Lonchura striata: one gene and its partners. The protein of the gene in region 2 purifies or fractionates together with the protein of the main gene of each other region. This does not show direct contact. Links are inferred from orthologs where the notes say so. Each region holds a gene or a part of one and is shown on either strand. Other genes may lie near its edges.

Region 1 (8,174 bases), on a different chromosome or scaffold from region 2:
GCTGTCCTGTTAGGGAAACGTGATTTGATGACAATTTGAAAGGAGCCCCACAGGTCCTGAGCAGAGAAACCAGCCCTGGCAGGGCCTCCAGCCCCTGTGCTGAAGTGTCTGCATCATGCTAATCAGCCAGTACCAACCACATCAGCATTTGGTCTTGCACAGATTTCCATCCGCTCAGAGAGAAACTCATCAGTACTCACATTCCCTGTGCAGCAAGCAGCTGCTGAGCAATAGCTGCACCACCATCCTGGTATCAAGCAGGAGCAGTGACATATGTCATGTCCACACTACAGCAATAATTGTATTTGTACACAGTAGGTCTACACACAGTTTCTTCTTATGGCTGTTCAGACAAGAAAACATCCCCTATCACAATTACACTGAAGAACCATGCTCATTCTGGATACTATTTCCATAGCTCCTTATCATGGTTACCAATACCCACAGAGAAAGAAAAGAGACTATACATTACAGCAGGGCCCCAACACTATTTTAACAGGATTGGGATTTGCAGCATATACACATACATTATGTGGTAAGAGGTCTCAAGTTACCAGTCTAAACTAGCCAGCACTCAGGGGTATCAAATGGAGAAAGACCTTTTCACACTGACATTTTCCATTTCCCCTCCAATTATTTCCTCTAAATGCTTTTCTACCGACAGCTCTCAGCTCCTGCTCAGGGGACCTTTAATTATTTCATTTTCGAAAAGCCACAGCGCTGTAACTTGCTGCTAGAGAGACAGCTGATGGGACACGGTGAGGTCATAAGTTCTCCTGTGACTGGAGTCATCAGAAAGAGACAGAAGATAATTGAATTCATATATTTTCCACCAAGCAGATAAAATGCCATTCTAAATTAGTGCCAGTGTAGATGCATCAAGGATTAGTAAATCCTCTTGTGTGGTTGGTCTAAAGGAGAGGAGCAGTTTACCCCAATACACTGACTGTCCTTCCTCCAACAAATCCCCCTCTGGCCCAGCAGCCCGACATTATCTACGACACCACTGCAGCACTGCCTGCACAGATCCTCTAAAAAGGATTTATGAGCTTTGACTGCCAGTACTTAGAAAGCATGAAAACAGCAGGGCCAACAGGTGAACCCATTTTGCTCAAAGACTTCAGAAGATCCATTTTCCCCTTCTTCGAAAGCCACAGCCCAGCAAGTTTCTCACTTGGGTGGCAGGAATTTTATTTCTTTTCTGTGACTGTGGACAAACAAGTGGATTCTGGACTATGACCTGAGACTCAGTAAAATGTGTTTCTGCAATGTCTGGCCCTTGGCATGATCCCAGCATCTCTCAGGGATACACTGCATGGACCTTTGGAAGTTAGCTAGAAGAGATACCAAACTCTTCAAATTTTATATTCTTATTTTTTCAAAACTCTTTGATCTATGGCAGAGAAGAAAACATTTTATTTTGACCATGCTTTCTTTGTACCAGATGTAACCCCTGAGCTTTCCTCCTAGTACACCCAGCACTCACTGCTCAAAGATACCCTTGCACGGGTCCAGAATTTGGCTACTTGCAGCTAAGCAAGCAGTTAATCCACACCACAGACCCTTCTGACAGTGGAAAAGCCCTATAAGCCATCGAACAGCAAACAGCTTAAAAGAAAAAGTGGGGGTTGGGAAATGAGATCCAGTAGATGTTGTCACAAATGCAGTTTGCTGAAAGAGAAAAGCCCACGCAAGCATCTGACCAGGTATCAGCAATCACTGCTCTTAAGGCAAGTCCCCAGAAACCTGCGTGCTCCTTACAGCATAAAAAACCACTTTGATAACTAAAACCCGTATATAACTTAATACAATTAATTAACAAGGCCAGAAAAAAGGTGAGGAACGTTCCCCCCCTCCCTCCAGGTGTTGTGTGTCTGCACTGGAGGAGATACCCAAGCAGCGCGGTCTGCAATTTACTCAAGTTGCAGATGATGAATGCGAAGGTCACATGAAGGGAAAGCATCAGTATATTGCCTGCCACAAAATGGTAGCACCCGGGGATTTGAGCATATAGGATAGCTATAACCCCGTCCTTCCTATAGCCTCCCCGCAGCTCCTGACATGGCATCCGCTATGGAGGACAGCGAGCCTGGGCTGGGGGAGGGGGACGGAGCAGATTAAACTTAAACACCCTCCGCATCACTCCCCCCGCAGCGACAACATCCATCTCTGAGCCCCGCACCGAGCAGGGGACGGATGGGGCCGGCCCCCACAGCCCCTTCAGCCTCCTCCGTTATGTAACACCAGGACGAGGGGGGGCTGCCACCGGCCGCCAAGGTGCGGCAGTGGCGGGGACCCCGCTGCGGAATGCCCCCAGGCGGGGAGCGAGCCCTCCCTCCCTGCCTTCCTCCCGCGCCTCCCCGTACCCCTGCACCGCAGCGCCCGGGCGTCCTGCAGCGCTGCCCGCGCACCACACACGCGCCGAGCGGAGTAGCCGCGAGCGGAGCGCAGTCCCCGCTCCGCGCGGTCCCCGCACCGCGGCCAGAGCGCCCGCACCGCGCTGCCCGTGCGGAGCCGCTGCCCGCGCGGAGCCGCTGCCCGCGCTGCTCCCGCACCGCGCTGCCCGTGCGGAGCCGCTGCCCGTGCGGAGCCGCTGCCCGTGCGGCGGCTCTGCCCGCGCTGTCCCCGCACCGCGCTGCCCGTGCGGCGGCTCTGCCCGCGCTGCTCCCGCACCGCGCTGCCCCCGCACCGCGCTGGCCATGCGGCAGCTCTGCCCGCGCCCCCGGGGACACCCCCGCTCACCTCCCGACGAAATTCTCCAGCACGGAGCTCTTGCCGGCGCTCTGCCCCCCCACCACGGCGATCTGCGGCAGGTCGAGGTTGGCGTTCTGCCCGATGGCGGCGAAGGCGTCCTGCAGCCGGTTGACCAGCGGGATGAGATCCTCCATCCCGCGGTTCCCCATGGTTGCGGCGCGGCTCTTGGCACAGGCGAGCTCGCACTAACCCTTCCCGCAGCCCTCCCCGGCTGTGGGGCCGGTGGGCAGCGGCTCCAGCCCGCGCCCCTCGCCCCGCTCGACGCCGCCCGGGCTCCGCTCGCCTCAGCCCGCCCGCCGCGCCTGTGGAGCGCCCCGTGCTGCCGCCAGGGGGCGTTAAAGGTACCGGCGCCGCGCTGCATCCCGGGAGATGTAGTCCGGCGGCCGTGAGGGGCCGAGGGGGCCGGGATCGGGGCGGCGCGGCCCTGGTGTCTGTGCCCAGAGACCTGGGAACGGGGCTCGCTCCCAGAACCAGAGCAGTGCAGGTTACCCGGGGCTGCCTCTGTGTGCGGCAGGTTGGCACACCGGCGTGGCCCAGCCGGTGTGGGTGTGCTGGCCCCGCAGTCAGTCCCGGTGTACCTGTGGGTGAGCCCCGCACGGTGCCGAAGCCCTGTGGCGGTCACTGCCGCCAGCCGTGCAGCGCTGCAGCGGGCAGGGAAGATGTGCTGGAAGAACCCACTTGGCTCGGCTCCTACACCTGCACTTTGTGATCCTCACAGCCGCAACGTTTACTCAGTGCGCCATGGCTTGGTCACAGCACCTGTATGGGAGGGCTTTGTGTGGAGACAGCACTTGTGAAATCACCAAAATGCAAGAAACACTTGAGATTATTAAACTGGAGCTTTGCAAAAATGCTACCACTCTCTGAGCATCTGGCTAGAATAAGATGGCAGAGGTTAAAATAAGAATTTTTTTTTTAAGGTCTCTTCCAACCCATTCTATGATTCTGATGCTTCATTCAAACACAGATGTAAAATGTATCAATTTCTGTTTATAGCTGTAAAACAGTGGATGTGTTGCCAGGCTTGTTTTAGAGAAACACAAACAGGTGCTTCATTTTATGCACCCAGATTTTGTTTTTAAAATTACTTGTCTGCAATAAAGAGGGAACAGCTTGGTTTTATGGTTTTTAAAAGGGATAGATTTTTAATAAGAATATAACATGAGGCCATATTTGATTTCAAAGTACAGCAATGAAAACAAGTGTTCAAAAAAGCATCTGATGGCTAGCAATGACTCAGAAGGATGGAGAGTGTCGCATTTCAAACACCCCTCAGTTCGTGCTACCCAAGACTCCTATTCACAGCTCAGAGAGGGATGGGGGTGGAGGGGGAAATGAAGTACAAAAAACTGCAACAGATTTTGAGCTGTCTGTTTTGTTTTGTACAGCAGCTTTTTAGTTATAATAATTATAATGACTATTTCACAGGTGTCCATCAAATTTAATCCATGCAAAAATACCTATGTGGACATACAGAGAAACTGAGGCAACCATGGTGAGGGATGAATTTGCCCCATGCTCTAGCACATCACCAATGTGCAGGTAAGAACACTGAAGGAAGGGAAGGGAGCTGCTCCATCTGTACGGGTAACACCATTGTAGGGCATACGTGGGCAGTTTTGGGGGCTGTCAATGCTATTTTTTCCTCTCAGCAAATTACCCAGTAAATCTCAAGAAATAAGCTTAAGGAATTCAATATAGACTGTGGACAAAAGCCTTTGAGCATCCCTGCAGCCATTCAGATAATTTATGTTGAAGGATTCTGGAAAAAAACTGCTATAGATAGCTGCTCCTTGTAAGAGGTCACCACAAAAAGAACAGTGAAGAGTATCAAAGGCTCAAATAATGATGTCACCTTCCTCCCTGGATCAGAGCTGAAGCTCAGGGAACTTTAGACCATGAGGATCTTTGAAGCTTTATTTGAGGAACCAAAAGCAGAAAACTGACCTTTTCCCAGGGCTCGCTGTACCGTGAAGTTCACCAACTGCAATACAAAGACTGCCCAGTTGCATCACTTCAGTCACCTCACACAATTTACCAGCTGTACTAAAAACTCTCAGTGGCCATGGCCAGCCTCACCTGGGGCTTCCCCCCACATCTGTGGACCTGGGTGGGCCATCAGTCCTGCTGACTTATGGAGACGTGTTTGTCTCTGGTTGCAGTCTATGGAGTCTTTGGGTCTGGCTTTCACACATAGGTTGACTCCTTAGCTTCATCCCCATGTACACTGGGTAGATATTTTGTTCTGGTTGAGTCAGCTCTAGAACTAATCATTCAGGTGATATTTCTTTTGGAAAAGCTAAAATGAAACTAATCCATTTTCTTTGAGAAATGTTTGTGACAGACTATTGAAAATATAATATATCAACAGCTGATGTTGAAGACTGAGGGGAAAAATAAGATTTATATTGCCAGTTAAGGAGCTCATACAGTATAAAGGCTCATGCATGACTTCTTTGCAGGTGATTTTTCCTACACTATCTAGTTTTATTTTTCCATTAAACTAATACTTAGTTCTTAGGAAATGTGGTCCTTTGGGGGATATATGAGGGGTTTTGGCATTATTGAAATCTTAAAGGGCAAAACTGGACAGGAGGGATGAGAGGAGCTAATAGGGTGCTCTCCAGGCACACAAGAAAGCAATAAAAGAAATTATGGAATTGGAAAAACATGCAGAAATATTGGCGAATTTTGCATGGATCAGTATTAGTGTAAAACTGAGAGATGCACAGAATCTGCTCCAGCTTCTTTGTCCTGCAGAGCTTTTTGTAAGCAGATGAGCTCCAGTGTGTCTGCCTGCAGCATCACCCTAAACCACTCATTTACAGTGTGAAGTCTGGACGCTTCTGCAGCGACTGCAGCCGCCCAGCCCAGAGAGACTGACCCCGAGCATCCCAGACAGCGAGGCTTGGATTTTCTGAAGCTTTACGAACCTACTCCTCCCTCTGATGAAAAAGCGAACTGCAGGCACTCGGAATCGCTCCTAGAGCCTTCCATTTTCTCCCCTGCCACAAACTGAGTTGCAGGGATGTCTCAGCAAACATACCTTTTGATTCTGTAATACCTCCTACCTGTGACTTACTCAGCAGCATTTAGCAGACAGAGCAGGAAAAACAAAAGGAATTTCAATAACTGGAATGAATAGGAAAAATCTATTTTTTTATCTTAGTAGAAAAACTGAAGATGTGAGCAAAGAAAAACAAGAGGAATGAAAGATTCCCCCCGCCCTGTGCTATAAATATTTCTGAATGTACTTTAACATGAATCCCTAAAAATGCATGTGGCCAAGCATATGTGTGTTTCTATGTATGGCTATCAACATAACCACAGTTGTGTATGCTGATTTTGTCACCTCATGCAAATAGGACTCCCAGTTTAGTTAGCATAATTAGAAATAGACATTTGAGAGCTGGATTCTGTCCTTCATTCCTTGCCCTTGCAAAAATAACATATCTAGTCCTCAGAGGAAAAAAGAGGCAAAAATGTGGAAAGCAATTAGCTTGTGAGTTTCTAAGTTCCTTGCAAACTGTTTCTGCTGACTCCAGGTAGTGTGAATGTTTAGAACATTTCACTGTGGGTCTTGAAGTGGATAATTCTGGCCTTTGGGGTTCCTAAAAATGGTTATAAACACAGGTAAAAATTTTAATTGAATGGTTAAAAGTTCCAAAAAGAAACTGGTCTAGGATTGTCATTGTCCATACTAATACTACATGATACAGCTGATCAATAGTTAAAAATATTAACTAAAATTAGCCTCTTACATTTCCATAACTATCTAAAGCTGCATATAGAGATAGAAAACGCTTAAGTATCTATTTTCTAGGTACTAAAGTGCTACTATAGTAGCAATGGTACCACAGTAACATCATCAATCTCTTGTGGTATCAGTTACTCAGAGAAAAAAAGTTGATTTCTAATGCTCCTATTAATTGCAAAAGCTATTTGAAAGAAAAGCAGTCTTTAATTTTTGAGTTTTCAAATAGAATGCTTTTCTTTGTAGAATAACATAGTGAGATGCTTCTGCATCTTCTGTGCTTAAACTGAATTGGTGTGAAAATCCCCCAAAAAGAGGTAAAAGAAGGTAAATCTGGTGTATAAGACACTAGGACAGTATTATTGTGAGTGTAACTTGCCAGAAGCCAGAGTATACATAAGGAAAGAAAGAAGCTGAATGTTATACTCCATTAAGAATGGGATCTGTGCATGGATGTGATTTTAAATTAATATTTTAAGAGCAACAAAGATGAGTTCTCTGTGCTTTCTGCATCCTGTAGATGTCATAAAATAGCTCCTGGTATATATTTTAGCTTGTGAGACTGAAAGTCGCTAATAGGAGCTGATTGACCACATGGTAAAATGGATGTAAAAACTATTTTTACCTCTTGTGGGCCTGTCAAGGACTAGGACTAGGTTTCTAGAACTACATTACAAAGAATGAGGGAAAACATCCTTTAATGCACAGATCATTTTGGTTTGAAATGTTGTGTGAATCCAGTCATCCTCCAGCTAAAACAGACATGGAAAAACAGTGTAATTCCAGTAACTAATATCAGCTGTTAAGACCATGTCTGGTGAAACCTGACCCATTCTTTCAATACATAGACCCCCAAACTAGGAAAAGAAAGTACTTTAAAGCTCCATATGCTTTTTCTCCAAGAAGTTTGTGGGGCTTAAATACATTATGGTGAGAACTAGTTATATCCTGGTGAAATGGATGAGTAATCACACCATCCTTGCAGATTGCAGAGGAAATTGTGGGCACTGCAGTATGTTGGTGCTGTCATAGGCGCTGAGAAACTTGGGTTTTCAAAAGTGATGTGGCTTCACCAAGGGTTGCATACCAAGTCTTTTTCAAAGCCAAAATTAAAACATAAAACTGCACAGTGCAGTCATATGCTGGAAATTAGAAATCTCTGGTTATCTGCATGCCTGATCCCTGGAAAAAAATTCATATAGCCCAGCAAGAACTTGGCTGTATAATACAATCCAGCTCCTGAATAAAAAGCATTCATATGCTCTGTCCTCTTATCTGCCAAAGGATTTCATAACCCTGATCTAATCATACAGAGGTGTAGTGCAGGTTGCCTTACAGTCATGATCCAACAACTCCACTGACTACAGTCTCTGCAATGCAGGATGTTCTCTGGTCCTTCTCTTAGCTTGAACTTCTAAATCTTACTCTGTTTCATTCATTCCCATTGCCAATGAGGCACTCCCAAGCCTAGGGGATACATGGGTTGGTTTTGAGTGATAATGCTGTAGTCTGCATTGTGCCTCTTTTTGAAGTTCTGTGTATTCTCCCATTATGTATTTGCCACTGCACACTGAGTAGTGAGATGCTTAATTATTGAAAGGGAGATGTTCTTTGCAGGAAAAAACAACTGTCAGTGGATGGCACCTCAAGGTCTGCGTTCCAATGA
Region 2 (7,336 bases):
ACCACCCCACACAACCTTCTGTGTCAGCTCTGAGCAAACTTTCAACTACTGCAACTACCCAGAACTGAAGAAATGGCGCCACTGTTTCCATTCAGTGAATATTTTTGCTATTTCAGCAACTTATTGTATCTTGAAAACAGGCCTGACAAGTGTATGGAGTAGACTCCTGGGATATTCATACAGCATGGGATGAGGAGCAAGAAGGGACAAGGAGCAATGGCCACTGCTAATTTAGCTCACAACATCAGACACAGCCTCCACAGCCCTCAGAGTGCTTAAGGCCTACAGCCACCCCAACTGTTTGGACAAAAGACTCCCTGCCAAGTTGCCAGCTAACAAATATGCTAGGAAAGCATCAGTAAGGGCTTCTTGGTATGAAAATAGTAGTCCTTTCCCCTAAAAGCTTTTCTTGCTTCAAAAAGAAATGCATTGATTTTGAATGGTACAGAAAAGAGTCAGCACATTACACAATGGTATACCACATTTTCATACATGAAAACTCTAGGAATTTAATTGCTGTGGTTTATCAAGCTGGCCAAGGATTACAAGCTAGCTATGGAAGAAACCCCTATCTGCATCTTCCATCCTCACAAAATCTAACGCCTTGATTCAAGCAAATCTTGATTCAAGTAAATCTTGTAGAGAAAATGATAAATCTGGAAACAGATGCTGGGCAAGTTCAGATTCAAAAGAAAGAAGCATCAACAGCAAGAGAGATTATTTAAAAACAACAACAAAAAACACAGACTGGATTTTCTATCACTGAAAGCATTAAAATCAAGACTGAATTTACCCCCAGCTTTCCTTGGAAAGTATATTCTAGTTTAAACAGGAATCAATTCAGGAAGCACTAACAGCCCGTGCAGCACAGACCAGGCCAGACTGTCAGTCGCCCTTAGCAGCTATACAGTATTTGACACCATTAAAGTTCAAAAATTCATACTCCAGAAAACTACAGTTTAATTTTTGTTAACATTTCACATAAAATACAAATACACCTTGAATATTTCTTTCAAAAGAGGCAATTTGTGAAGGAGCACAAACAGACAGTGAGAAATTTGTTTACAATTTAAAAAACAAAATTTACTTTCCAAATGAAATGGTGACTGAGCCAACTGAGTAGTTGGTTGAGCTCCTAAACACTGTTTTTTCAGCCAGTTACTCCCTCACACTGCTCAAAAAACAATATATCCTTTACTATTGGTGATGTTTGCACAACGTGAATGAAATAAAATCCAAAATAGGGCAGTTTGCAGAGAGGGACCCATCTCCTGAGTAGAGCTCACAGAAAATAAAGTAAGCTTCTCTTCAGTACTACTCAGAGTTACCAGCATAATAAAATAATAGCAATAAAATACCAACTCTTTCCTGACTATCACTTATCATTTTAGCCTTTAAGTCAAAGTACATTACCATAACTTGCAATGTGTAGAATGAAAAAAATTGCACCACCTGATTTTAAACCAGTCTGGATTAGATTAAGATTTGAAGGAAGTCAGAAATTATACGCCCTTCCGTCTGGGGCCATAATGTTTCCAAAAAATATTTAACGAAAAGCAAAGCGACAGTTTCCAAATGTATGAATAAAATGGATCATATGTTCGGCAGAGAACACAGATCCCATGAGGACACTGCACCTCAAAGTGAGCTCAAAAACAGTACACTGGTTTAATACAGTATCTGCCTAACATACTGTGCATTATGTAGTATATACACACCAGAAGTAATTTTCTTGCCATCTACAGTCATTAGATTGAGTGAAAAATATTCATACACACATCTCATGAATTACTGGAACCCACCAATGTATAAACCAAGTCTATCAACAATATTCTAAAAGCTCAACAGAAACATAAATTTCACTATATTGACCATATTCATTGTATTTTAAAACTGCCTAAGTGATTTTGAAACCTAAAATCAAGTTCTCGGTGCTTCGGAAAAAGTTTATCCAAACATGAGCCACCATCAGTTTACATGGCTACAGAGACAGCTACTTATACATTAAATCTGACACATTCAAGATGCGGAATTTCTTCAGCACTGAGAAGAGCAACATAAATAGTGCACTGTATGAGAACTGCCTCAGTAAAAGGAAGTTTTTAAAACTGCTGGCCAAGCTAATGGAATCAGGTGACTCAAAGTAATACTTCAAATACCAAAAAGGTCTTCCTGAGATACTTAGACAAGTCACAGATGAGTTGCTGGTGCATGTTAACTCACACCTACACAAGTAGAGATGCTTTCATCAACCAGTATAGTAAACAAATACTGTTGATTTAGAAAGAGGACGCTTTCAGATAGGATGGGCTAATTTTGACAGTTGCATTAGCAGCAGATACTGTTGAAGAACTGAACAAAATTTAACTTCCTGTCTTTTTTTTTTTTTTTTTTTTTTTTTTTTTTTTTTTTTTTTTGGCGTGTAAAATCACAGCTTACTATTAAGAGACCGCGCAGCGCGGACTCTGGGCTCCCACCGCAGTCACGGCACAGCCGGCCCCGGACCGAGGGGGGAAGCATCAGCTGCCCTGACGCGCCGGGGCGGCGGGGGCCGAGCGGGCCGGGGCGGCGGGGCCGGGACCGCGGGGCCCGCCGGTGGCCGAGGCCTCTCCCAGCGCCCGCCGCTCCCGGCTCGGCGGCAGCGGGGCAAGGGGCGCCCGGGCTGCAGGAGCAGCACCCTCGGCCTCCGGCGGCTCTTGGACACTACGATCATTCCGCCGAGGAGTGGGGGCGGAGGGGCCACAAACACGGCAGAAAAGCAAACTTTCCCCCGTCCCGGAGTCGCCGCTGCTCCGCCGAGCCCCGAGCAGGGCCCGGGCAGCGGCGCCGAGGCCCGAGCGCGGCGCTCCCCCGTCCGTCCCGCGGCCGGGCACGGTGCGGGAAGGACCGGCCCCCGCCCCGGCACGCAGCCCGCCCGCCCAGCCGGGACCCCCGCCCGCCCAGCCGGGCCCGCCGGCGCAGAGGGCGCCCCGACCGCGGAGCTGCTCACCTTGGTGGCCATGGCGCTGCCGGCGCGGGCTGCGCTGCCGCTCTGCGCTCCCTCCCTCGCTCCGTGCCGCGGCTGCTCGCCCGCTCGGCCGCTCGGTCGGTGTGTCCGGCCCGCCCGCCGCCGCTGGGCCGCGCAGGCGGCTCCTCCTCAGCGTCCCCGGCCGCCGCCGCCGCCGCCTGGGGGCCGCTGTGCGGCTCAGCAGCCAAGCGCCGGCGCTGGGCAGGCCGAGGCTGATGTGGCCGCGCCGCGATGCCCGCGCCTCGGCCGCTCTTTCCGCCGGCTCGGCTCGGCACCCGGGCCACTGGCGGGGCTGTTTGCCCGCAGCCCTTCCGTCAGCGCCGGGGGAGGGAGGCACCCGCCGCGCCGCGCCGATCCCGGGGGAGCCGCCCCGGCCGGTCCCGGGGGCGATGGGGGCGGGCGGACGGACCGACCTCGCCCACCCCCCATGCCCTCAAGGGCTTTGATTTGTAGTCAGTTCGGCTTCAAATTCTCGTTCGCGTGGGGGAGAGAGCCCTCAGGAAAGCGGTATGTGCCCCTCGGATGCCTTTGAACGGAAATTTCAAAGCAAGGAAGGCAATTTTTCCCTCGGCTAGGCTCCATCCACGGCTGCCAGGGCGGTGTACGTCGTGCCTGACCTGTTTCGGCCGGGCCTTGGTGTGCAGCAGTTAGCAGCAGCAAAAAGCACCAAGGAGATAGCTGCTCAAGGTCGGCAGCGTTCCTGTTGGGCACTCTATGACCATCTCATAAAAAATACCTACGACCTCACTTGACTTCCAGCCTGCAGGAGAGATGAGGTGGGAGGCTAAATCAAAGGGAATTTGAAAATACTGTAGCAGTGATCATGCAAGGTACTGCATCATCCAAAAAGTGCAGCTTCTTTAGCTGCACCCCCATTTATAGTGGTTGGCCTGGAATCAGGAGACTTCCTTTCTGTGGAAGGAAATACACAGTGTAATCACCAGGGACGCCGGGGAGAGCCCTGGGAGGCAGGTGAGCTGTAGGGAAACTGCATAAATGTCTACATCTATATTTCCTTGCCCATAGAATTACAAGCTTTTTTTCTGCTATTGGTATAGTTTCACAGTGAGAGCTTTATTAAAAGAGTTTTTTACATTGGAAAACATTTTCCTAGTTGGACCTGTGAAATAGTTTCCATGGAAAGTGAGGATGAGGAAATAAGAGGAAGCTGGCTGTTCATTTGCCACCACTTTTTGAGTGATTGAACTGCTTAACTTCAGAAGTTTTCAAACTCATTTGCTTATGTTTTAGCTTTTCCAGAATTCAATTAAATACAACATTTCCAACTTCCTACTCTCTGTAACAGCAGTACCTAAAGTGAAACCTTTCTGTGTGGCTCATAAGTGGCATTGTAGGAAACCACCTTAAAGATGAGCTATTGTATTTAACATCAGTTTTGCCATGTGGTCCATCAATAGACTGGCATCTCATATACCTTACAAGCAAAACTCACTGAAGGTAACTTCATTTCTGTACTAAGACACCCTGTTCTTCCACTTTCTCAGCAACAATCTTTCCAACATGGCATATTTTGATCCAGCCCTTTGGTGAACATCTTATAAAAAGGGGAGAGGTATGAAACCCAGAGACCCAGCACTGTATCCTTTAGGGATCCCCAGCTGATAGAACTGTGAAGCACCCTCTATCCTTTCTCCAGATGCTGCTTTGCTATGTGAAATATGATAAACTTGTGGCTTCAGCATAAGCTTGAGTCTGTGTCATTTTTTACCTGTGGTCAGCACAGCTGCCAGAAAAGTTTAATATGCAGCTGCTACCCAGTGTGCTTTAGCAGAGCTCTGCTTGCCATCTGGGGAATGAAGAACACAGTCATGATTTGTTCAGCCTCTCTGTGTGCTTAAAGCCTCCACTTCACAGTTTTCCACTGTGAGGTGTTCTTGAAAATAAGTCTTACTTGACAAATTTGAGGGATGAAGGAAAGATTACTGTTTCTTTCATTCGAGAGAACATCCTGAGAAAAAAAAATATTTTAAATGGGATCTTTCCAATACTGTTTGCAATTAATTGCTGTTAATTATTGTCTCAATGAAGATATTCTCAGGAATCCCTTTGGATTGCGAGTAAACATATCTCTTAGCAGTAAGCTTTATTATTTCTTAATACAGAGAGCCAGATACACACAAATTGCTAATGAAACCACCCAAAATTTCTCAAACTTCCAAAATTAGTTACTTTTCTGCTACCAAGCTGTGTCCTAGTTAATTAGGACTGGATGTTTGCTTAACATTAGACATAAAAGAAATCTCAGTGGCTTCAGTGGGGTTGTTTACATATCTAAGCATTTGGTAGTTTTGAAGTATAGTGCTCTGTGCCAAGCTTATCAGCTTTCAAACACAGTTGACTAATTATTCACTTTGTACTAAAGCCCCAATGTATGCTATTATAAATATCTCCACCTCAGAAAAAAACAAACAGTAACAGAAGAAAATGCCTTACCCTGCACATAAGTGACTTCTCTCTACAGATTTTTACTAGGTGTGTATTTTTGCAGCTAGGTGGTCTGCAGTGGTTCCTAGTAACTCAGAGTTCACAAAGAAGTGATTGTCTGCAGAGCCTCATCAAATGAAAAGCTCCTGCCAATACTGCTATGCAGATTTTTAAAACTAAAGATGGACTCTGAGAAGAGATACGGAGAACATTTGCTGAATATGTTCTCTGTTCAGCAAAGCCTGCCTGTAGCTTCAAGCTCACAGGAAGTCAGTGACCTTGTATGTTTTGACTTATGCAAACTTGGTGGGGAATGATAAAGAAACAGTGTTCTTCAAATAACCTTCAAACTGAAAACCATCTGGTGGAAGAACTACGTTTTGTGTTTATAAGTTACTGTCCTCTGGAGCTCCTTGAGTTGGTGCACCTTGCATTTGTTCCTGCTGGGAGCCTGTGCCCCTAGCTGTACCTGGGTGAGTGAGGTGACCCTGAGGCATTTACCTCAGCTCTGGAGGCATTTTCAGCAACAATTATCACTAGTGGCAACAACTTCGCAAATAGAGCAGGCTATCAAATACATGTTTTTGGGAAATCTTTGCAGGAGGCATACAGAGATTATATTGTCCTAGGTCTTTTTTTTCAAAGGTGTTTTATAAAGTAAGAAGTGATTTTTTTTTTCTTGGTTGAAAGCCTAACAATGTAGTGTGCATGATAACATCAGTTCCACACTAAATGCTTTTAGTTCAAGATTTCTAACTGCATTAATCAGGAAAGCCTAACAATGACTAGGAAGAAATTACAAAAACATTCCAACTATTTTTTATTCCTTTTAATTATCATGTTTACCTTAGCCACCTGATACACACTTCTTGTTTTAAGAGGGAGTAGAGATTTTTCACGTTTTCAAAGCCTCAAAATAAAATTTATTTGGTTTATGAATCTAAAAGAGAAGTACTGTATTCTTCATCTTCAGAAGTCATATCTGCACACCTTCACCCACTCCTCCCCAAGAGGTTCTTTGGGCATCATGTTTCCTCTCAGCTGAACAGCAGTTTCTTTCAGAATTGTGTTAACAACATTTCTTCAATGTTTCTGAGAAGTTTGCCAGATAGCAATATAAAATATTGCTTCCTCCTATCTTCTGTATCCTTCCCTCCCCCAGATTTGGACAGAAAATGATAGGAGCTGCCACATGTATGAAATCTAGTGTTATCTGCACAGAGCAGGAAGGGAGCAGTTGCTGAATCCTATTTGTGCACCGCTCTGTACAGCAATGTCCAGTGGCATCACTTGCAAATGTATCTGAAAAATACATTTAACAGAATGTATTCTGAGGAAAAAAAATTACTAATATTTTCCTTTGTTTTATGCTGGGAGCTTTTGGACACAAAGTACATGAAATCTTGAATCATATGGCATTTGCAGGAAAGCACGATTTTACCTCTCATTTACTCAGAACTGTGCCTGGCAGTTCAAAATTGTGCTCAGGAGATTACAGACATGCTTTCCAATCTTACTCTGCACCTGGTGCTGGAAGATCACTGTAAAAACAGTAAGGCAGCCAGTACCATTGGATTTTAGGTCCAGACTTTCCTGGAAAAGCTGCTTTAGAAAATTGCACACAAAATTGCACCCAAATTCCTGTGAGTTTTCAGTCTCTGAATTTCTCTCTGAATAAGCAGTTCTAAGAAAAACTGTGCTTCATGCATTTGATTGTGAATTAAGGATTTTATCTTAGAGCTGATAATCCAATACCATTATTATCTGAACTGTGGCATATAATGTGGGACCTTTTCAAGGTAAATTCTGGTTTTACATAGTTATATTTCTAATAAGAATATAGCCAAGACTGGTTTTGTGCTGCATATGAATATGCTGTTTCCT
Region 3 (7,799 bases), on a different chromosome or scaffold from region 2:
GCTACCCTGGAGGCAGTGATGGATATGTGTTATTCAGCAGGACCTGGCTCCCACTCCCAGGCCATCTGCCAGCCCACACAACTGTGCCACACCAGATTCCTCACAACCCTTCCCAAAAATGATGGCAGTGAGTGCATAAACGAGATAGTGGATAACCCTCCACAGGCCACCATGTTTCCTAGGAGCCATAAAGAAGCTGTAACCCTCGATACCACCTGTCAGAAAATAGTTTCTACTGTCCAAGTGCAAAAAAAACGTAATCTTTGCACAACCAAAGGTCTTGTGGAAGACTGAAACACCCCACCCATAGTGCTATAGTGGCTACAGAGAGCAGGAATAACAACCTGATCCTAGAGTTAAAACTGCCTTGCCAACCTCACCCCAGCTCTACCGACAATACATGTTAACAACCAGCAGCACGGTTGTAGCAAGACCCTGGAGGATACCGTGCCTTCCTCATACCAATTACAGCTATTCTTGAAGAAAAGAGATCTTCAATATCTCTCTGAAGGCTAAGAGTTCAAAATCTACTAATGATAATGATTCATGTGGTAAAAAAAAAACCAAACCCAAAATGAAACCAACAAAACACAAAAAAAACTCACAACCACAAAACAATCCAAACCAAAAATACTAAACAAAAGCCATGAGAATTAATGCTGAAACTTCAGAGCAATGCAAGGTCTGTTTTATTTTTGTGTCAATTTCAAAGCTGTGTTAGTATTAGTTAAAGTTGGCCCTGTGGTTGCCAGAGGTCATTCAGTATACCAGCAACAAAGAGAAATTAGGGCAGCATGGTTCTACAGGGAGACTTTCTACCTCTACAAGCCATATTAAGACAGATGTGGATGAAACAAACTTGTTTGCAGAGAGCAGCTTCATTATCCCATAAAAACAGGAATACCCTATGGCTTACTAAAAAGAGACACAGGCCATTTGTCTGCTGATTTAACAAGCAAAATCCTCTTCTGAGCTCATGGATATTTATTAATCTGGTTCTGAGGGTTCACAACCAAGTTTTCACAGCTTAGCCAGGGCACATCTGCTGACCACACGTACTCAGCCTGGAGGAAAGGCGCAAACAAAATATCCGTGCTCAAGTCTCCTGAAATAGGTTTGAAACTATGTAGTTTCATGTAATTTTTAAAACAGGTTCTAAGGTAGCAAGTCAGGAGGTACTACAGATCGGCTCATGCTGAATCTCAAGAAGTTACTCCATAAAACAACGATGTGGAACTCTGAAACCAGGCTGACAGAATCCAAATTCCAAATCCCATGTGACAGAGACATTCTGGTGTTTCATAGCAGCCTGTAATCTCTTCTCTAAAGAGACTGTTGTGAAGTTTCTGCAGGCTGCACAGTGAATAACTACACGAGTAAAACAGTTACTGCCCTTACCTCTCCTTCCTAATTCCTCCTAGAAGTGCCCACATCTCACTCGTGCAGCTGGTTCCAGCCTCCTGGCTAAACAGGCCGGATCAGCACAAACTGCTGTTTTCACCTTTTGCTCCAGCCAGGCACATCCAGGCGGCTCAAAAGAGCAGCTCCACCTGCAGATCCGATGGAGCAGATCCCTCTGGCAGCCGAGCAGTGACGAGCATCTGGGAGCAGTATGATCTTCCATCAGCACAGCTGGAGCCAGAGACCAACACCAGCCCACAGCCCACTCACTCAGCCCCGACCCCAGGGACCAAAACAGCCTCACTGACAAGAAAAATGAAGGTACTTTTTCCCCTCAGCACATGTGCTTTGCACAGCTTTGTGGACACATAGCTCAAGAAGTCAGAAGGTTACCAAAATACTTTTTATGGACTCGTTTGAAGAGAACAGTAATAATTTGATAGCCAATTGTGCTTTCCGAGGATCTCATTTATGTTTTCCAAACTTGAGAGACTCGCCAGTACTGTCAACACCAGTAGCTAGCTGCAGTCTTCAAGGAGAAAGAAGAGGAAGAACTGACATTTAACACAGTCAGTTCTGAGGGAGAGCCAAAGAACCACTATACAGCATTTTTATACCGGGTATCAAGAGCTATCGCAGTCTGACACATGGCCAGGTTGTGGAGTGTCACAGCATTTAATATTACCTTTGCTGAAGACCTCCGCACATCAAAGTCCTTGTATCATACGCACCAGTATTTCGACCGTATAATCCGGACTAGGATCGCAGCACCGCTGCGGGAGCATCACCTCCCTCCGCGGCTCTCTGAGGCAAACGCAGCAGGAACTTCCTCAAACGGCACGTGAAGCCCATGTTTACCTCGGGATGTCTCCAGAGGCACTGCCTGGCCGTCAAAAAGCACAGCCTGAATTGTCAGGCTTCCCTTTTCCTGTCAGTGATTCGTTAGAAACGGTGCGCATGTTGGACTTGACGATCTTGGAGGTCTTTTCCAACCTTAGCGACGCCACAATTCGAATACCCACAGGCGCGTTGGGACGGCGCGAATTTATATGCGATGGGATGGGAGGAATGAGCCGCCCAGAGCCAGCATCCCACCGAAATTAGGGTTTGGGCTGTAAACACCTCGTTCCTCTCAGGCAGCGGGCACCCCCGCACACCCGGAGCGGGCGCTCGCACCGGAGCCGCGGCGGCTTCCCCGCAGCGCGCACATCGCATCACGGGCGCTGCCGGGCCCGAGGCACCGCGGGGAGAGGGACACCGAGCATCCTCGGTGGGGACCGAGCACCCACGGTGGGCTCGGAGCCGCGAGCTGTCCCCCAAACCCGCCTTGGTCCATCCCCGCCCGACACCGCTCCCCCCGCCAGCCGCTCTGAGGGGGCGCGCGCCGCGGCCGCTGGGAACAGCGCGGGCCGTGTGGGGCAGCGGGGGGCGCGGGGCTGCCGTGCCCGCCGCCCCTCACCTGGAGACGCAGTTCTCCAGCACGGAGCTCTTGCCAGCGCTCTGCCCGCCTACCACCGCGATCTGCGGCAGGTCGAGCAGGCAGTTCTGGCCCAGCGCCGCGAAGGCGTCCTGCAGCCGGTTAACGAGCGGGATGAGCCCCTCCATCCCGCCGCCGCCTCCTCCGCCCGCCGCCGCTGACAGGTAACGGCCGGCGCACTGCGCATGCGCCCCTCCCTCCGCGGGCCTGGGGGCGGGGCTCCGTGGGCGGCCACGCCCCCTCCGGTGCGGGTCCCGCTGCCGGTCCCACCATGTCCCACGGTTGTCCCAAAATCTGCTCTTCCCCCCGTTGTGCCAAAGGCCCATCCACGCTCAGAGTCAAGGGGTTGGATTTATTTGTAGTTCTGCACAGAAAGATGGCTCGGTGACAAATCCACAAAGCCAGCACGACAACTGTCAAAAGTTTTCCCTTTTTGTGGACTTTAACAAACCAAAGGCGTTGATGTTTATTGGCTACAAGTTATTTAGTTCCCTTATTAATTAGTGTTCTGTCTTCTGTTGGTTAATGATCCTCTTGCATCCAGTACTAATTAGTCTGCATGCTCAGTCTCTTAAATTAGTGGGGGTTTTTGGGTCAGTGGTCTGTGAGTCAATGGTCACAATTTGCCCCTGCCAGAATTACCTCTTACCCAGCTAGAGCTGACTTCAGCACATTTGCTCAGTTTTTATTAGTAGCTTCCTTATTTTGGGTGTTCTGCCAAATATCCTTGTAGCCCCTAAATTCTGCATTCTTTGTGTCAGCTAGGAGTGGTACACCCTTCCCCCCTTTGGTAACCTCTCCCTAGGTCTGAGATAACTGAAACATGTCAAGCCCTAAACCTTAACAAGGCAATTTTACCAATAAGTAATTTGTCTTTCTACTACCTGGACATCACTTAGAGCTTGCTTGTTATTTTTCATAGATTGCCCAAACAGGCTGTGGAGTCTCCCTCACTGGAGATATCCCAGCTGGACACAGTCCTGTGCATGTGCTCTGGGATGACCCTGCATGAGATGGGAGATTGGACCAGATGCCCCACTGCTCCCTGACAACCCGACCCAATCTGTGGTTCTGTTCCTGCCTGAGGACAAGGCCACCATGGTGCAGGGACCTTGGACACACCACGTGCTGGGACCTTGGACACGAGGAGCACGGTTCACCCAGGTCTGTGCTGACCATGAGACTACCATGCTGCCCCTCTCCCCTGAGAGCCCAGCCCCAGCTGGCCACTGGGAAGGGCTGTGCAATGCCCAGGCATGGGCAGGAGCGCTGCCAGGGTCAGGCACCTTCCGAGGAGGAGCTGGATCCAGCAGGGCGGGCAGCAGGTGATGGCTCAGGAGCAGGCTGGGAAGTGACACTGAGGTCCAAGCCATGTCACTGCCACGGGTTCAATTAAAAATGCACGCTGAGGCTGAGCTAAAAGCTCAGGCACACAACAGAGATGAGATTTAGCTGCGATTACTGGCAGCAGTCACATCATGAAAATATCCCAAAGGCAGGCTTTGGAGTCGTGCAGCGATAAAAGTTATCCTCTCTGTTACAGCAGACACTGGCCTCGCTCAGCGTGAAAAGCAAAACAAAGGGAGCTGTGAACACCCTGCAGGCTGACGGAGACTAACGATCTGGAGGATTATCAAAACTTCTTGGCCAGAGCTCTCAATAAGTGTAAAAAATTACAGCAGACTGACCTATAACTCTGGAAACAAGTAACGGTTTTGAATCGGCAGAGACGGCTTCTCCTCCCTGCTGCAGTTAGATCACAACCTCTGGGAAAGCCTTGCTATCATTTCTGTCTAGTTGGGAGCCTGGGACTTATTGACATAATTATGCCAATTAGCAGCATGATTATTTCTTTCCCCACTCCTGGGTGAGCAAGCTGTGCCAGGAGGCACTGGAGTAGCTGCCTGGCCTTCCTCCAGCTTGTGGGTTTCTATGGAGGCTGGAAGTTGGGAAGAACATTATGAGTGTCCAGAGCACTTTGTGCTACCCCCATGAAATAATTAAGATCCATAGAAGAGCAGCCTGGCCATAGGATTGTGTCTCCACAGGAGACAAATGAAGATTGAGAAAGGCACCATGCCTGGGGAGCAGCACCATGCACACCTTCAGATTGATAATCCAGGGAACGGTCCTTTCTGTGAGGTCTTTAAATTACAGCTTTGTCTGCTTCCATGATTAAAATAAAATAAATTAGAAAAACAACTAAGATTAGGAAAAGTTTGAGTTATTCCCCCAAGTCTGGGAAGTTCCCAAATAAAATTTTTTTGTCTTGTGAAGCAGAGTTAAAGTCATTAATTGCCCGCATTCACCCTACAACTCTATCACTTAAAAAAAAAAATCCATTTTCCTCCCTCCAAAAAAAAAAAAAAAAAAAAAAAAAAAAGAAAAAAAAAGCCACAAGCAGCCAATTATAGATTCCCCACCTTCTGGGAAAAGCACAAACAATTTCATTATGGATGCTTGTGAGAGGTTTTCTTCATTTTTCCAACACCTCCAAGAAAGCAGAGAAGGAGAGAGGAGAGGCACCCGAGCATATCTTTAGGTCTCTGCTTTTCCTGACTGATTTCTCTGGGCAAGTTGTTCCAAATCCCCATGCAGAGCCTAGCCTGGCTTTCTGAATTTGCCAAGATTCAGAGTGGCTAACTTAAAGAAACAGGGGTGCTACTAGATCACTGCAAAGCTTCTTGTAACAAACAACACTGAAATACAAAACTTAAATCAGTGTCAGAGGGCCACGCAAGAAATTGTTCTCTGGGGGAGCAGTAAGGGTGACCCCCAGGAGCACAGAGCTGTGCTGCTCACTGCTTAACCAGCTAATTACAATCTGGTTTTACCCTGCTCACTGGTTAACCAGCTAAACACAATCTGTTGTGCTCAGTTGTGCCCCTAATAATACAATACAATAAAATAAAATATTTATCATTTACTTTTGCTGTGTGCCAGGCTCAGCAAGGAGACAAAACCTCTGCCAAGCACCTTTCCTGGCATGGCAGGAAGGGTGGGTGCCCTGATCCCCAAGGTGACTCCAACAGTGTGGTCTGATGTCACATGTCACCAGCTCCAGCACAGCCTGCCTGGGGCCCCCAGTCACAGCCTCTGGTGCATTTCAGATCAAGGCAACAGACAGCAAGCTTGTCCTGCCACGACTTTCAGAGAAATATATGGCAAAAAATAGCCTGGCTTCAGGGTTCAGCTGAACCCACAAACTCACACACACACTTCTCCCTAACCAGGCAGCGATGTTAACACTGAGGACATTTGGACCAGGTCCCCAGGCTGCTTCCCAAACACACAGCAGTGCAATTCCCTTCAGGGAAAATGAGTTCTGCGTAAACCAGCCCAGTGGGGACCTGCAGACGCCTGCAGTGAAGAGCCAGCCACGCTGCCCTGCCCGGGGCAGCAGAGCCTGCTCCTCTTCCATGAGAACAGGCAGGTTCCTCCACACCTGCTCCAGGGACCTTCCTCACCTCCTTCTTGTGTCAGAACGCAGAGTTTTGGCAGAGTTTTCAGGCAGCTGATGGGCACAGAGCAGGGGGAGGTGTGGGCAAGGGGCAGCTCCCAGGTTCTCAGCAGAACTTGGCTCTGCAGTGGAGCTGCATGAAGGTGCCTGTCAGCATTATGCCTGTGCATTTGCCAGGATAAGAGCTCAGACCTTGAAGCTGCAAAAGATGGAACTCAAGCCCATGAAAGAAAGCCAGAGTGGCTGCAGGCCTGTGATCACGGTGGCTGCAGCATTTCTCCGTGTAAAGAGGATGTGCTTTCTGCCTCCCCCCCACAGCCCGGGGCACTGCTGACTCACTGATCGCAGGACAACACAGTCCCTGTCCCATGTCTCCTCTCTCCTGCCCTGTAACCTCCAGCTGCATTCTTTAGTCGGGTGCATCCCGTTGCAGGGTAGAAAAAGGGCACCGTGCTGCATTGCAGCCTGCAGAGATCTTTCCCTGCAGCCCTCAGCACCCTAGGAAAGAGCTGCACTCCCTCCCTGCAGCCTGGCAGCATGCCTGCTTCCTTGGCCACAAAGCCAGATAAGCCAAGTGCTTCTCCAAGGGAAGATTCCATGGACAAAAACACTTCCTATGTGCTTCCAGCCTCTGGGAGTGGCTGTTGCAGCCCTTGTTGTGCTGGACCATGTCACACAGAATCCCCAGGCCGTGTGGCCAATGTTCTGCCCAGCTGAAGGGAATCAGCCCAGGGCTCAGTCCCTGCAGCTTTTGTTGCTGCAAAATCTCTCCCAGCTGCTTGCTGTGCTTTGAGCTGATGACAGTATGACCCTTATCCCTGCTCCCCAGAGGGAACTGGGGTGTCATTCTCTTCTCTGTTCTTCTCCAGAACAGGGACCCGGGCTGTGAAACCATATGGGGTGTACATGTGGCACCCCATCAGTGCCTGCCCACAGCCACCCTGGGCCAAAAAACCTCTCTGCATCCTTCTACCCAAGCTCAGGAAACTCAGGGCTAACCCACCAACTCCCAGTGTCTCGCTCTCTGGAGCAGCAGCAGGACGTGGATGCTCTGAGAAGGGACTGGGCCAGCCCAAAGCATCCCCAGCTGGCCACAGCCTCACACCTGAGCCGTGGGGTGAGTTACACACCCCTCTCTTTTTGTGCTGGGAAAGCCAGAAAGGAAAAAGTCAACATCTCCGTGCCAGTGGGGGTTGCTAAGTGACGGCAGAACTTGTTTCTATCCCGCCACTGACAGCGTGCCTAGGCTGCAAGGGAAGGAAGTGAGGAGCAAGGGATGTAAACATGAGTACACTGCCAAAACTCTCGACAGATTCACCCTTGCCAAATATATACATTAGCTGCGTGTTTTGGCTGCCAGCAGAGAAATGTTTACTACGTGTCAATTACTCCAGCCTTGAAGCATTTTACCTGCAAAGGAGGATTTGCTGCACTCGTGCATTTGCTAGTTTTCCAGCTGAA

The links.
Region 1: the proteins of SNX9 (region 2) and DNM1 purify together in Homo sapiens (co-immunoprecipitation; 6 studies listed by BioGRID and IntAct, counting the BioPlex papers as one, with this or other methods). This does not show direct contact. The link is inferred for Lonchura striata from reciprocal best matches to the Homo sapiens genes SNX9 and DNM1.
Region 3: the proteins of SNX9 (region 2) and DNM3 purify together in Homo sapiens (co-immunoprecipitation; 3 studies listed by BioGRID and IntAct, counting the BioPlex papers as one, with this or other methods). This does not show direct contact. The link is inferred for Lonchura striata from reciprocal best matches to the Homo sapiens genes SNX9 and DNM3.

Annotation. Positions count from the first base shown.
Region 1 is NC_134624.1:506,432-514,605, reverse strand, and holds the start of DNM1 (dynamin-1), read right to left. Parts: upstream 3,067-8,174; 5' UTR 2,904-3,066; coding exon 2,743-2,903; intron 1-2,742. UniProt on the Homo sapiens protein: Catalyzes the hydrolysis of GTP and utilizes this energy to mediate vesicle scission and participates in many forms of endocytosis, such as clathrin-mediated endocytosis or synaptic vesicle endocytosis as well as rapid endocytosis (RE).
Region 2 is NC_134605.1:54,036,054-54,043,389, forward strand, and holds the start of SNX9 (sorting nexin-9), read right to left. Parts: upstream 3,134-7,336; 5' UTR 3,002-3,133; coding exon 2,990-3,001; intron 1-2,989. UniProt on the Homo sapiens protein: Involved in endocytosis and intracellular vesicle trafficking, both during interphase and at the end of mitosis. Required for efficient progress through mitosis and cytokinesis. Required for normal formation of the cleavage furrow at the end of mitosis.
Region 3 is NC_134611.1:587,210-595,008, forward strand, and holds the start of DNM3 (dynamin-3), read right to left. Parts: upstream 3,067-7,799; 5' UTR 3,007-3,066; coding exon 2,861-3,006; intron 1-2,860. UniProt on the Homo sapiens protein: Microtubule-associated force-producing protein involved in producing microtubule bundles and able to bind and hydrolyze GTP. Most probably involved in vesicular trafficking processes, in particular endocytosis.